3 linked regions of the Saccharomyces cerevisiae S288C genome follow. The gene in region 1 interacts genetically with each later gene. Each region holds a gene or a part of one and is shown on either strand. Other genes may lie near its edges.

Region 1 (6,127 bases):
AGGCGAACTGAAGTTCAAGCCAGACTGGGAAACCTCGAGAATATCAAAATACCAAAGTGAAAGTTCAAAGGTAATAAATGAGCAACCACTTTCTTCGAAATACAATATTGAAATCAGCATGAAGTCTGAGCGTAGTGTTTATTGTAGCAAGTCTTGAGCATATTTTATAAACTCTATTTATGTTTGTATATTCGTCTATCAAATGGTTGAATATGTAATAGGGACAGGAGCCATTAGCATGCCTGGCTTCAAGGAACGTTTAGGTCACGAATGTCCAACAAGGTTTCCTGCAGGTTTCCATATGTGAACTGAATTATCATTTGCCACACTGCACATTAACCAAGGGTCATGAGCGTCCCACGAAATGTCGTTCACACCGAGCATATGACCACCATGGGTAAATATAGTTTCTTCGCAGGAGGTATCCCATAGCTTGACTAACCCATCTTCTTGGCCAGCCGTTGCCAATACAGTATCGAAATTTGGACTCCATTCTAAAGTTGAAACGGAAGTACCGTGCTCCATGGTAGCGATTGGGCTTTTGTTCATGTTTCTAATATCCCATAAATTTAGCCTCCCATTTGAATCTGCAGATGCTAGAATTAAAGAGTTCTTATAGTTAAATCTACAGGAGTTTACTCCACCATCGTGTTTTTCACGGTTACTCTGGAGCTTCTCTTTCTTAGTCCTCAGATCTAATAGGGAGACCGCATTTCCTTCAGTACAAGCAGCAAAGAGGGAATCGTGTGTTGGCATCCAAGTTACATCATTCACCGCTGTTCCGTCGCTGTTTATTGACACTAAGGGTAAATCTATTATAGGGTTCTCATGCGAATATTGTTTAATGTCCCAAACTTGAACTTGGCCGTTGGAGTGAGAAGAAAGTAAAAGGGCCTCCTGCTGCAAGTTCCAGGCTAAAGAAGTCGCCTCATTTATATCTGCCGAAGAAGTATCCATTGCCTCCACGTCTTGAATAACACCATGTGAACCAAACAGCTTTGTCTCAAAGGGATGTGAAATTTTGGACTGTCTTATTCTAGTAGAGCCGTGTTTTGTTCTATCGAATATGTAGATTGCACCATCTGAAGAGGCGCCGGCTATAATATCTGGATTTTGAGGCAAATATCTTGCCCTATTGCATTCCCCGTTTGGGAAGAAAATACTGATGTCATTTACTAAGTGTTTGGAGGGAAACCTTGTCGAGTTCTCCGGTTTGAATTCCATTTCGTCCATGTCGAAATTATTTAAAGATGACCATTTTATATGACCCAACGTGGATATTTTGCTAATATATATGGTCTCATCTTCAGGTTTTTGGGAAGATGTAAATGAGGATAACAAGATGCGATGCTCATCCGAAGTGGTATCTAAATCAGGAAAGAACTGGCACGTTAAGGACGGCCACTTTGTTGAATTCGTGTTTAGGTAATCATAAAGTAGTTTAGTGTTTTTCTTCCAGTGCGAGTATCTTTCTTGCAAATCGATGGGTATACTGGAGGCTTCATGAGTTATGTCCTTCGCGCACTGATTCATCTTTGAAACTAAATTTGTATATTGTTTGTCAGAAATAGGACCTGATATCCTCCTTTTAAACAGTTGATGAGAACCTTTTTCGCAAGTTCAAGGTGCTCTAATTTTTAAAATTTTTACTTTTCGCGACACAATAAAGTCTTCACGACGCTAAACTATTAGTGCACATAATGTAGTTACTTGGACGCTGTTCAATAATGTATAAAATTTATTTCCTTTGCATTACGTACATTATATAACCAAATCTTAAAAATATAGAAATATGATATGTGTATAATAATATAAGCAAAATTTACGTATCTTTGCTTATAATATAGCTTTAATGTTCTTTAGGTATATATTTAAGAGCGATTTGTTCACATCCATTCCTTGAATTGATTGATTAAACCGTTGGTAGAAGCATCGTGGGTAGAAATGGTGGAGGAGTTGTCCAATTCCTTGCCGATGACTTTAGCCAAGACTTTACCCAATTCAACACCCCATTGGTCGAAAGAGTTGATATTCCAAATGGCACCTTCAGTGAAAGTAACATGTTCGTAGTAGGCAATCAAAGCACCCAAAGTAGCTGGAGTAATCTTTTGAGCCAAGATAGAGGTAGTTGGTCTGTTACCTGAGAAGACCTTGTGTGGGACCAAACCACCAGTGGCACCTTCAGCCTTAACTTGTTCTTCATCCTTACCAACCATTAAAGCTTCAGCTTGAGCAAAGAAGTTTGAAGCCAACATCTTTTGATGTAATTTGTTCTCAATTGGGTTATGAGATTGAGCAGCTAAGATGAAATCAGATGGAATCAACTTGGTACCTTGGTGAACCAATTGGAAGAAAGAGTGTTGAGCGTTGGTAGCTGGTTCACCAAACAAGATAGAACCAGTAGAGTAGTCAGTAAACACGTTACCTCTGGTAACAGACTTACCGTTAGATTCCATTGACAATTGTTGCAAGTAGGCTGGGAATCTGTGCAAGTATTGGTCGAATGGAGCAACCAAATGGGTTTGAGCACCAAAGAAGTTGTTGTACCAGACAGACAACAAACCACCCAACAATGGAATGTTGTCTTCCAATGGGGTTTGGGTGAAGTGGTTGTCGACGGCTTCAGCACCCTTCAAGAAAGCCTCAAAGTTGTCATAGCCAATGTACAAGGCAACAGACAAACCAATAGCCGACCAGACAGAGTAACGACCACCGACCCAACTTTCGAAACCAAACATGTTTTTGGTGTCAATACCGAACTTGGCAACTTCGGTTTCGTTAGTGGACAAAGCAGCGAAATGCTTAGCAATGTGAGATGGATCATTACCTGTCTTCGACAAGAACCAGTTCTTGGCAGTGTTAGCGTTAGTGATAGTTTCAGCGGTAGTGAAAGTCTTGGAAGCAATCAAAAACAAAGTAGTTTCTGGGTCAACAACCTTCAAGGTTTCAGCAATGTGAGTACCGTCAATGTTGGAAACGAAGTGGACATCCAAGACACCAGCGTAGTGCTTCAAAGCCTCAGTGACCATGACTGGACCCAAATCGGAACCACCAATACCGATGTTAACAACATCGGTGATCTTCTTACCGGTATAACCCTTCCATTCACCAGAACGAACTTGTTCAGAGAACTCCTTCATGTGCTTCAAGACAGAGTCGACTTCTGGAGCAACGTTGACACCATCAACGTACATTGGCTTGTTAGCTCTGTTTCTCAATGCGACGTGGTAGACAGCACGATCTTCAGTGGAGTTGATGTGTTCACCTTTGAACATAGCATCTCTCAAACCGGTGACGTTAGCCTCCTTGGCCAGTTCAATCAATGCAGCAATGATTTCATCGTTGACCAAGTTCTTTGAGTAGTCGAACAAGATTTTGGAACCATCATAGTTGGTGAAAGTCTTGTTCAATTTTTCAAAACGCTTGGCATCTTTTTGGAATTCTTGCTTGACAGACAAAGTCTTACCTTGAGATTCATAAATTTTTTGCAACTTAGACCAGGCTGGCAATTCAGTGGCCAGTTTGAAGTTAGTGAATGAGTTATTGGACATTTTTAGGCTGGTATCTTGATTCTAAATCGATTTTGCAAGACTAGAGGAATATGTATTAAAATTCACTGAATGCAAGTAAAATATTAAGTAAAAGAAAGCATTGATTATGAAGAAAGGACCTTTTTAAGATATGAGAACAATGAGAAAAGGAAAAATGGGACGAAACAAATAGGGAAAATTCCGTCTGTAAAACCAATTGTAGTAACAAAAAACGCTCATTTCAATAGCAAAAAAATAGAATACCGTCAATGGATATATATAGACACGGGACATTATAACAACGTGCAGATGGTGATGATTGCAAACCCAAAAAATTACCAGCTTCCTGTAATTCCAGGTTGAGCGCGTGGCTTCCTATAATCCAATACACCCACACCCACCCAGATCGTGATTTTTGTTACCATCCCGGTTCTTGCCTCATTGACATATTTTTCTGACGGTGACAGAACGTGGCCTTGTACACTCTTTTTTAATGTTACGCTGGCACAACATAGTTCAACGAAAAACGAATTAAGTTCTTACTTCCGTGTTTTAATCAGAAAACGATATTCCAATGAGAGATATAAGCGTAAGGTAGCATGTCCGATGGCAAAATTCTCTTTGCTTCCGCAGCGGGGCCAAAGTCTTACTCGCCTCTAACCCCACGTAGGACAAGTGCTGAGAATAAAATAGTCTTGGCGTAGTATGCCTTCTTCAGTAATATTTTTTCTTTTGAAAGTACTACCCACATCCGAACATTGCCACTTACATAGCGATGCAAATAGCCGCCAGGAAATGCCGCATGTTATCCACTAAGAATAGTCAACATTGCATAGCATCCAAATACGTGAAAGCGGACCGATCTTGAGCGAAATGTTTAGTACCGTTGATGTGTAGAAGTAGTGCCCTGAAATACATAGCGGTGTATTATTTAGCATTAACATACAAAAAAAAAATAACGGAGGCACCAATGGAAGTGGTGTCGCTACATTAGTTTTTAACTCAGTCAGAAAACTGAATTTAGTTGATATGGGACCGCTCCAAGGTAGGAGAATACTAGATCAAGTAAAGCAACCGCACTAGTGCCTTTTTCAAACAAGGTGGTTTGATGAGGAGGCTTTCTACAATCCTAGAAATATAAGACATCTGTCAGATTAGCCGCCGTTCATATGGTTTCAAAAGGTTGCGAATGGAGACAAACGTTCCTCGTCCCAAATTAGCCAGACGGAACAGGACAATAAAGGTGATAATGTAATCCATGACTTCCTCTATTTTAGACGGGACTTTTAGCATCCTCTAAATATTTTCAACCCATACATGTCATCAGCATCGGTGAACATCTTTAATAGTATCGACAACTTGGCTCACGTACTTCTCACCGTCAAGTGCGATTTCCGGGTCATGCAATACCTCGTCTGGTTCTTGATCTTTATTCGTGGCAGAATTATGCTGATCCTTATGAGGAGGGCTCCTCAGCTTGGCATACTTTAGTCGCTGATTTCTTTCCCTCATTAATCGCAGTAGTTGAGCGTGCGACTTGCGCATTTGCGTGAGATTGCTCTCAAAATCTCGTGGGAACCCGTCGTTGACGATAGGTTCTTTCGCCATCTTCTTCACATCATCCAGTGTATCGATTTCAGACCATGATACGTCTTGCGTCTCCGTAGGTGCCAGGTTTGAGTGCATTGTTATACGGCTACCATTTACGCTTCTTTCGTATGCAGTATTACCCCTACTAATGCTGGTCGTTAAGGGGTTTAGTGCTGGAGGCGTGGTTAGGTTTTTGGTCGGAAGTGCGTTGGAACTGCCCATTATAGAGGCAGTGGAATCTGAAGATCCCTTTCTTTTATCTTTGTCGCTCTTTGCCTTTAATTGAACCAGCTGAGGGTTTCCTTCCTGGCTACTAGATTTCCTTCTGTTGGTGGAATCCGCGTCGCTTACTTTCACCTGGACTGGTGGGGTTTGCTTCACTCCCATTATTTGTCTTCGTTCGTGCCAGCAACATACATTTCATCTTATTTCTCTGGAAGGTTTTTACAACAACCAGTTACATTTTTCATTTTTCTGTTCTTCGCCTTTCTTGTTTTGGCCCCGATGACTGAGCGAAAAAAAAAAGGCTAAAGAAGACGCTATGATAACCGCCGAGCAGGTCAAGTACGATGTCGAAAAAGCATCTAATAGTTACATATCGGATTAGGTTATACTTATTACATATCACTTCCATGCTGTTATTTTTTTCAGTGTGAATTATGGCCTGAAAGCACCTCCTGCAAGGGCTAAATTGCTTCTGCTGAACTTGACCTTAAAAACAGGCGTCTTTTTGGTGTAGAACGACGCTACTAAATCGCTTGTAGGTATTACTGTTCTTCTGCGACCATATTCTTTTATATCTTGGTTTATAGATGCAGTAACGTCACCCAAGTATCCAATGAATGGCTCATCTGGTTCTGCGCTTGGCTCAGTAGTGGCCTTTTTCAAATCCCATACACGGACTGTATGATCGGCACCTCCACTAATAAGTACGTTTCCCTCTTTGCTATATGATAAGGAATAAATGGCATTCTTACCATGGCCACGCATTTGTTTCAACCTTTTGC
Region 2 (3,797 bases), on another chromosome or scaffold:
GCTCCTTTGCATGTGCCGACCTTGCTGATCCTTTAGATATGGGAGAGGCTGAAGGCAGAGAAGTTTCTGGAACTGTTTTGGATGAATTACATCTAAAACTTTGTAAAATTAGTGATTTTCCAACTGCAGGTGACCTTAAACACAACCGACTGAGAGGAATGAGCTGCGATGAAGAAGGGGTGACCAAAGACCGAAACCTTATAGATGGCAGTTTAGCCAGTCGGGGACGGGACAGCATGTTTCTGCATATGCCCAGCCGCAAAAGTGGTAAACGACCATTCAACATTGCGATTGGCGATGATGGGACATATATTTCTTTTTCTTTTAATGCAATGATACAAACTTTATACCACTCTTCGAAGCGGCCAGTATTCAATATCATTGTAGTCATTATTAGTTTCCCGTATAAAAGTACGTAAGTTTTCATACACAGTTGCTAGAATATTTAAAATGTATATCAGCGAGTAAAAAAAGAGCTGCAGTTCCCAGGAAGCGTTAAACTATTTTGTTATTGGAGTGGGTTCAGAAGCTGCAGTGCCATTTTTATATTGGGTATAAAAAGCATCTGTTTGCGATCTGTTAAGAACACTAGCGGTTTGTAATTCAGTTTTCAATGAAGAACGGATAGCCTGAGCGGCCACATTCAAATATGCAGCATATGATATACCAGCTTTCCTCCAGGCAGACATTTTATGAATCGGTTGTGGGCTGAAACTGTTGATGTTTCTTAGAAATACATATCTTGCTAAGTACTCAATAGAAAGGCCTACTTGTATCTCTTCATTTAACTAGACGAAAAAGGGGAGGATCAAATTTCATTGGTTCGTATAAAAGTATTAAAAAATAAGCGCGTTGCCAGACTTAGTGTGAGATAGTAAGCTAGTAAATCATCTGCTATTACCTAGTTTAGCGTATTTCCTAATAAGGATTACCAATTCCTCAAGTTCATGGCTTGGTAAGATACAGCTATAGCTTTCTTAGTTTTTTTCTTCGAGAGAACTAGTACAATGCTTCTATAGAAGTTAAGAAGTTTACCTTTTCGAAGAACAAATATATTGTTGCTTTGCTTACTCCGAGGTTATCGACTATTTTTGGCAATCCGTTTGAACCTGGATAAATACGTAAATCAGACTTTCTTTAGCCGGATCAACTCTTTTTTTTTTGTAAGCACTCTGACTTGTCGCTGCTGTGTCTGCCAATAATTCAATAATTCATAGTATTTCATACCATATGCTTTATTTAGTGTCCCACTGATGTGAGTTGAAGAATTGTATTCAGATAGGCATATCTTAAGGTCCAACTATTGCCACCGTCGTAGTGCGGAAAGGTTGATTATCGAGCGAATTAGAGGAATAAATGCTGCTATGCGCACGATGAGCAAATCGGAAGTAAACCACGCCGCTGATCCACCTGAACAAAAGAATCTCGCGGAGTTACGATTTAATGTAGGTTTGCTCAGATTACGTTACTGATACTTTACTTTGGACAAAAGTTCTCATACAAACTGTGGAAACAACACCGCTTAAACCAACGATTATGAAATGACATGGTCTAAAGTAATATAATCTATATTAGAATGTGCAGATGGCTATGGTATCCATGCGATGGCAAACCTCCGCAATGATTGGCGTTCTAGCGGCTATCCGAATTCACAATCGACAAGAAGTACTTCTAACTTACACAAGGCAACGAAATAATATCACTCTATGAAACTGCCATTTGGGTAATAGGAGTATATTGAACGACACCGGGTCAACAAGCAACTTTCCTAAGCCTTTTACACTTCTTCACATCATTCAAGATCGCCTTTTAACGAGCTACAAACCTTCACGTTCGTTCTTCTATGGAAACGTTTAAGATAACGTTAAAACGTTCTCAATCACAGAATTTAAGATGATTAGAAATGTTTTCCAAGGGATAGGGCGAAGCACAACCTCGAAAAATGGCAAAATTTTAGAATCTTAGCCACCTTAACGTCTACTTAGAGCCTTAGAAAAGCCATCAAGATTGGTGGAATAGTTGTTGAGGGAACTTAGCCGCCACATTCTCGTAGCCAAATAAAGCGAATCTGACCATTGTATGTTTCTTTTTCACTGGTATGATAGCCCAATGTGTTTAAGGAAAGTTAGGACAACACACCCGAAGAAGGACGTCACCCCTGCATTCCCAAACGAGCTATGAAATAGCTCTTTCCTCTACAAGTAATAACAACAACTTTTTTGTCTGTTTTCCGACCGTTTAACTTCAGAGATTAATTTTTTCAACGCGCTTTCGTTGAACGTCGCAAATTCGTTTAGAATAAACGAAAGGTGACAGAAATAGAAGATTATAGCCATGCATACGCACATAAATTGAAAACTGTTTCGAGGCTGAGTATTCCCTGCGTCTGCAGCCATCAGGGGTATGACTCTGCTACACGTTTACTATATTCTTGGCTAAACGATTCATTAACGAAGCGATGAGTAGATCACACTCGGCATACGAGCACAAATTTGTATGGGGGGACGGTCATATATAAAAGGGTGTATACGTTATCCTTGTTATACCTGTCCAAAGAAGTGCATTTGTAACTCACAACACAGACACATCCTCACTTTATCATAATGACTACGTTTAGGCCACTATCAAGTTTTGAAAAAAAAATTCTCACTCAATCTTTGAATGACCAAAGAAATGGAACTATTTTTTCGAGTACATATTCAAAATCTTTAAGTAGAGAAAATGACGCTGACTGGCATTCTGATGAAGTCACGCTCGGAACAAATTCTTCCAAAGATGATTCTCGTCTGACTCTGCCCCTAATAGCAACAACTTTGAAGAGATTGATTAAATCGCAACCGGCATTGTTTGCAACTGTAAACGAAGAATGGGAATTCGAGCCATTGAAGCAGCTGAAAACTTCCGATATTGTTAATGTGATTGAGTTTGAAACCATAAAAGATAAGGAGGTCAATTGCCATTGGGGTGTTCCACCTCCTTATCTCTTGCGTCATGCCTTCAACAAGACTAGATTTGTTCCCGGATCAAATAAACCTTTATGGACACTATATGTAATTGACGAAGCGCTATTGGTTTTTCATGGTCACGACGTATTGTTTGATATATTTTCAGCAGCTAACTTTCACAAATTATTTTTAAAAGAGTTAAACGAAATCAGCACAGTAACACACTCTGAAGATAGGATTTTGTTTGATGTCAATGACATCAATCTCTCAGAATTAAAATTTCCCAAATCGATATATGATAGCGCAAAATTACACCTGCCCGCTATGACACCACAAATCTTCCACAAGCAAACTCAGTCATTTTTCAAATCAATATACTATAACACTTTAAAAAGACCTTTCGGCTATTTAACCAATCAAACTTCCCTCAGCTCGTCAGTATCTGCAACACAGCTGAAAAAGTATAATGATATTCTAAATGCGCACACCTCATTATGCGGGACAACAGTATTTGGGATAGTAAACAACCAAAGGTTTAACTATTTAAAGTCAATCGTTAATCAAGAGCATATATGTCTAAGAAGTTTCATCTGTGGTATTGCAATGATATGTTTAAAACCTCTCGTTAAGGATTTCAGCGGTACAATAGTATTTACTATTCCCATAAATTTAAGAAACCACTTAGGCTTAGGTGGGTCATTGGGTCTCTTCTTCAAAGAACTAAGGGTCGAATGTCCACTTTCTCTAATTGATGACGAACTTTCCGCCAACGAATTTTTGACCAACAGTAACGATAACGAGGATAATGATGATGAGTTTAATGAAAGATTGATGGAATATCAATTTAATAAA
Region 3 (5,575 bases), on another chromosome or scaffold:
GCGGTGCTTAAAAACTCCTTTCTTAGTTTTAGAGTTGTCATTTGGCGCTAATAAACACTTTGCAGTGATAGAGGCTATTTTATATCAATGAATAACAGTTAGTAAGATGAAAAGATACTGGAAAAAAGATTAAAAAATGAGTAGGGATATGTTTATGATATACATACACTTTGTTTGACAATCTTCATTTAAAAAAGGTGGGTCAATTAACAATCTATCAACTTTTCCTTTAATTTCATCACTGAAGTCCAGTGGTTTATTGTAATCATAAAAAAAGAAATGATCTCTTCCAGCTAACAACTCGAATCTCTTATCAAATTCGAACAAGTAGATATGTTCGGTTGGAATTTCATTAGTAGGTTTCTTTTGAATGGCAGCATAGACGGATGGCGCACTAACTATTGCAATTACAGTGTTTTCGTCCGCACCTTCCAATATGGCATCTGCTAAAATTGCGGCTGTGTCATCGCTGTACCAAAACTGGGAAAGCTGCCAATCTTCCTTGAAAAGCTTCATCCCTTCTTCTTTTTTTTTCTTTTGGAAGTCTTCATCCGTTTCGTCGTAAAGCTTTTGAAAGGCTTCTTGATGTTGTTGTTCCTCTCTTTTGAATTCTTCAAGGGCAGCGAGGGCATTAGCAGAAAGTGTCCTATTAAGTTTCGTGTTAGTTAGTAATTCTACGTTACTGTGTTGAAAATATCCTGTACTTACAATTCATAATCGGAGTCGGAGTCGGAGTCGGACATTTTATCAGTGATTCTTTCGGTTTCATTAAGATGTAAAGTGACTGATTAGTATATTAGTCAAGATTAATATTTTTTTTTTTAGTTCCTCCAGTTCAAAAAAATTTTGTTAGATTTAACCGGCATAAGGTTCAGCGATACAGACGAAAAAAGAAGCCTCTAAATGAATGGGAAATTATATATACATGTATATTATGCAGTTGATATTCTATGAGATGACAATACTAAACTATATACCTATATACATTGCCCATCTTGGATTTTGCTGCCTTACAGATGACAATATAAGTTATTTAGAGATTGAGGGTTACTAGTGCATAATATTTGCGTGATTTCCGAAAGTACCTCTGAAGGTCCCATGTTGTACACCAAATATTATAAAACAGTCTATTTTACGCAAAAATTTTAATCACATACGTGCTAGCAAAAAGCATTTTCTGATGTTCACTTGGTGATTGACATACCAGCTTCGTATTTGTCAACGTGTTTTTTTAAATCGATAAGCGTATTGATTTTTTTCAAAAGCTCCTCTTGTCTTTCCATTACATCAAATGAGGGCATCACAGGGCGAGAAGGTAACGATAATTCTTGAAGAATGGCGAGAATTTTGTTCTGCAGCGCAGGTTTGAAGGTCGATAATTTTGTAGATCTTAAGTATACACCCGGCGATAGCTTCTCACCATGCGTAATCACACCTAAAGCCTTCCTTTCATCTGAATTGAAATCTTTCAGCAATTGTTCTGCATATGCGCTTTCTGACTTTCTTTTGAGCGCCGTTTGCATTTCCTGTCTTTGTCTTTTGGTTTTCTTGGGGGAGAGATTTTCCTTGACTTCTGACTTTTTTACATTCAGTTGTTGAAGTTGCCTATGTTGGGCAAACTGCTGTTGCTGCTTCATCCAAGGATTTTCAGGGATGTTCAAATCGTGCTTCCGCTTTCTAGTTTTATCTGCTAGAAGCGCGTTATATAACTGAGACATTCCCTGAGAGGTAAGGTATTGTGTAATTGTCTGATCTGAATGTGGCGAGTCCAACAGTCGGAGTAATGATTCTCTTTCTGCAAGTGTTCTCTTGGCAGCCATTTCAAATTTTTTGGACTCTACTACGAGTGCCTCTTCTTCAGCAATTTCTGCTGCAGAACGAGAAAGAAGACGCTGTAAATACTTTTTTCTCTCTATCTCCTTTTCAGCTGAAAAATTCAAAGAAGATAAAAGCGGATTGCTAGGATCACTTGCTTTAAAATAATTCCTACAGGTGTAATAAAATTTTTCTTTGAGATCTTCAAGTGTTCTTGAATTATTATAACTGTATCTGTCAAAGATCAGGAACCAACGTAAATCGTATTTTTTGCAGAGATTGAACAGGTATTCTATTTCTTCAAAAGACCAGCTATTTTTACTTTCATCCTTCTTTTCATTAGTAAAGTTTTCGTTATGGTTTTTTTCACTTTCTACGCTTTTTTGAGTTCCTTCGTTTTCATTCATAAAAGCCTCGTACTCCTCCTTGGTGAATGATGGAATAGATAAATGCTGATTGAACTTAGAATATGGCGATTCTTTTGGTGTGTCTCCTATTAATTCTTTGGAACCCTTGACCCAATGACGCAGAGTCACAGAGTTATTAGCTTTGAACTCTACAAATGACCAAGGAGATGGCTTGGACGTCGAAAGCATTTTTTCTTTAAAGTTATTTCCAGACTTAATAACAACGGGGGGTTGGTTCTCTCCTAGCAGGTTAAATAGTTCTCTTTGCATGCCCGTCACTTGAGGCTTGGGCCGGTTGGCTGCCGAGGACGAAGGCACTGATACCTGGCCATTAGTTGGACTTCTGGATTTTTGCTTAATGTTTAGTACATCAAAGATGTCTGATGATGACATATTACCTGTGGTTTTTTTACTAAATTTTCGTATTATCGGAGAAATATGTTATGAATGCTTGTTGCTATTAAAATACAAAGTGGATTCTTGATTTATCACTAAATAGCTACCCGGAGTTGGCGCATCGCAACTTCATTAAATAAGTTCGAGTGTGCGTATTCTAATCTGATTCATATAAAGTATACTCTAAACGGGCTAACTCAAATCTGAAATTAGGGCTACTATATGATAACTAATAAGAAAATAAAGATAAGTGTCCCAGAAAAACTCGGTTTGTCAGAAGAATCTTTTGAGGAATCCTGGGAAACAGTTAAATATGCCATTGATCATATATACAGCGATGACATGGCCGACCTTTCCTTCGAACAAGTGTACAAGACCATTTATACTATCGTTTTAAATAAAAAGGGGCCAATACTTTATAACAGATTGAAAGATTATTTAATCCAAAAATTAGCGCTTTTGAGGGAAACGATAGTCAAGGACAATACTCATGATTATGAGTTTCTTGGAACTATGGCACGGTTATGGGAGGTGCAATGCCATTGTTTTAAAATAACGGGAGACTTAATGATGTATATGGACAAAGTTTATTGCAAACCAAATAGATGCATGGAGGTATACGACATGTGCCTCGATCTTTTCCGAATCGAAATATTGCAAAAATGCTCATCTTCTCTCATCTCAGCACTGATATCTGATATAGAAAGGATTCGTAATTTAGGATCTGTCGACTCCGAACATACTAGTTTGTGGAAAGTACTAATAGGAATGATGGAGACATTACATGACAATAGAGATAGTTTTTTCTTAACCGATTTTGAGCCGGTTTTGATTAGCGCGACAGAAGAATACTACAATAAAGCTATTGATATTGAATTATTAACGCCAATTGAGAGCCTGGAAAAGATTAGGAAGTTAAGGCAGTTTGAAAGTATGCTAGACTCCTCTTTTCTAAATGTGGATTCTCATAATAAGTTGAAGACTGTATTAGAAAATGTCCTTATATGGGGAAAGTTGAGTGATATTATTGAAGATCTAACGCACGAAGCAATGGTAATTTCAAATGGAAAGCTACTCCAAGAAATTTATGACTTGTCAAGCGAGGAAAAATATCGCGTTACTGTCATTGAATCTATTAAATCTTACATCAATAAAAATGCCATAAATATTCCTTTTAATGAAGGTAACCGCAAAAAAGGGCAGAATGCGATTACTTGGTCTTCGGAAATTGTAGAGCTATATCGCAGTCAACACTCGTTTTTGGAAAGTATTGATTTTGGTTCTGTTCGTCTTAATAATTTGACCGGGGATGTATCTAATGCAATACTTGGCGATGTTTTCTCAATGTATTTCTCTAAAGAAGGAGCATTACCATCTGAGTATCTTTCTACCTACGTGGACCATTGTATGAAACGAACCAAGGAAAAAGATGCTGAAATAGTGAAGATCAAGCAAGATTTGCTTGATAGTACCAAATTAATCGGACTCCTAACTGAGAAGGATATATTTGAAAAGATTTACAAAAAACAACTCTCCAGAAGATTACTGCAGCAGAGGTCTTTAGTGGAAATTGAAAAATGGATGGTGCAAATGATAAAGAAGGTTCTAGGAACTTTTTTTACCTCAAAATTGGAGATAATGCTGCGAGATATATCTTTATCCTCTGAAATGTATCAAGCATTCCAACACTCAACAATCAACAGCATAGAATATTTGAGTTTTGCACCACAAGTTTTGACGAGAACGAGCTGGCCCTTTCAGAGTACTAATCCAATTGATGAAGGTATTTCACTACCTCCTAGAATGTCACAAATTTTAGCTGGCTTTGAGGGCTATTACAGCTTAAAATACAAAGAAAGAGTGCTAAAGTGGGCTCATCATCTAAGTGTAATTGAAATTGGCTGCCAATTTAATAGCGGTTACTACGAAATAAGTTTTTCTGTTTACGCTGGAGTGATTTTCCTTCTATTTGAAGATTATGAAGAATTAACGTTGGGGGAAATATATGAACTAACTCATATTCCCATAGATGACGTTAAGTCTCTTGTAATGTCAATGTCGACAATACCCAGATGTAAGATTTTGAAAAAATCATCCAGTTCAGGAAATATGAAATTTTCAGTTAATTATTTCTTTTCTTCTCCAAACAGGAAAGTGAAAGTGCCGGTTATTGCATGCCCTCTACCATCTCAGAAATCAGATAATTTGGCAACCGCAAGTTCCGTGGACACTTATGATAATGAAATTGTTATGGAGCTTAGTGCTATTATTGTTCGTATCATGAAAACAGAAGGTAAGCTAAGCCATCAGCAATTACTTGAAAGAACTACGAAACGGACACAGTCTCGGCTCAGTCTTACACCGAGCATTTTGAAACGAAGCATTCAGCTTTTAATAGAGAAAGAATACATCCAGAGAAACGCAGATGACCCCTCTTATTACCATTACCTTTCCTAATTGCTTATAATGAAAATCACAGGTATAAGGTTTGCAGAATGCCAACAGTATATATAGATGGCAGTTCCTATCCGGCTGCCAGAGCGAACAATATTAAGAGGATATGCGTCGATACTAATTGAATGTTCATCCTGCATTCCTTAGTGAAACTTTCAAAATATATAATAACATAGTTATGGTAGACTATATATCCCAGTCAAACTTGAATGTAATGTGGAGTGGGTAATCGATATCTCTTGAAGTTTATTATGCCTCATTATATTTTTATAAAAAACTTCTAGGAATTTGTTGAGTCAAATAATTTCTTTCTTAATCATTAAGTAAGTTAAAGTTACGAGCCTTTCAGACCTGCGTAGCACTGCTTCAAAGGAACTATTATCAATAGCAGCGCCTTGCTCTTTTTTTTTTTTCAGATGCTTAGCGGCCGTATTTCACTTTTCCTGGTAGAAAAATATATGTTGAAATTTACGGTATAAGAGAAGCTCACCAAAATTATTATC

What was found.
Region 2: mutations in PGI1 (region 1) and ATP15 together harm fitness less than expected from each alone (positive genetic interaction), as found in Saccharomyces cerevisiae (one large-scale study listed by BioGRID).
Region 3: mutations in PGI1 (region 1) and CUL3 together harm fitness more than expected from each alone (negative genetic interaction), as found in Saccharomyces cerevisiae (one large-scale study listed by BioGRID).

Annotation. Positions count from the first base shown.
Region 1 is NC_001134.8:610,350-616,476, forward strand, and holds PGI1 (glucose-6-phosphate isomerase), read right to left. Parts: upstream 3,552-6,127; coding exon 1,887-3,551; downstream 1-1,886. Other genes in the region: AIM4 (Aim4p), read left to right, coding at 1-60; MSI1 (Msi1p), read right to left, coding at 265-1,533; YBR196C-A (uncharacterized protein), read right to left, coding at 3,675-3,824; YBR196C-B (uncharacterized protein), read right to left, coding at 4,177-4,281; YBR197C (uncharacterized protein), read right to left, coding at 4,854-5,507; TAF5 (chromatin modification protein), read right to left, coding at 5,778-6,127. UniProt on the Saccharomyces cerevisiae protein: In the cytoplasm, catalyzes the conversion of glucose-6-phosphate to fructose-6-phosphate, the second step in glycolysis, and the reverse reaction during gluconeogenesis.
Region 2 is NC_001148.4:26,971-30,767, reverse strand, and holds ATP15 (F1F0 ATP synthase subunit epsilon), read right to left. Parts: upstream 690-3,797; coding exon 501-689; downstream 1-500. Other genes in the region: ATP-binding cassette permease MDL2, read right to left, coding at 1-286; PBI1 (Pbi1p), read left to right, coding at 2,604-3,797. UniProt on the Saccharomyces cerevisiae protein: Mitochondrial membrane ATP synthase (F(1)F(0) ATP synthase or Complex V) produces ATP from ADP in the presence of a proton gradient across the membrane which is generated by electron transport complexes of the respiratory chain.
Region 3 is NC_001139.9:497,292-502,866, forward strand, and holds CUL3 (cullin CUL3), read left to right. Parts: upstream 1-2,840; coding exon 2,841-5,075; downstream 5,076-5,575. Other genes in the region: EFM5 (protein-lysine N-methyltransferase), read right to left, coding at 1-74, 168-646, 709-743; SWC4 (Swc4p), read right to left, coding at 1,185-2,615. UniProt on the Saccharomyces cerevisiae protein: As part of the CRL3 E3 ubiquitin ligase complex; polyubiquitylates monoubiquitylated RNA polymerase II subunit RPO21 to trigger its proteolysis; plays a role in global genomic repair.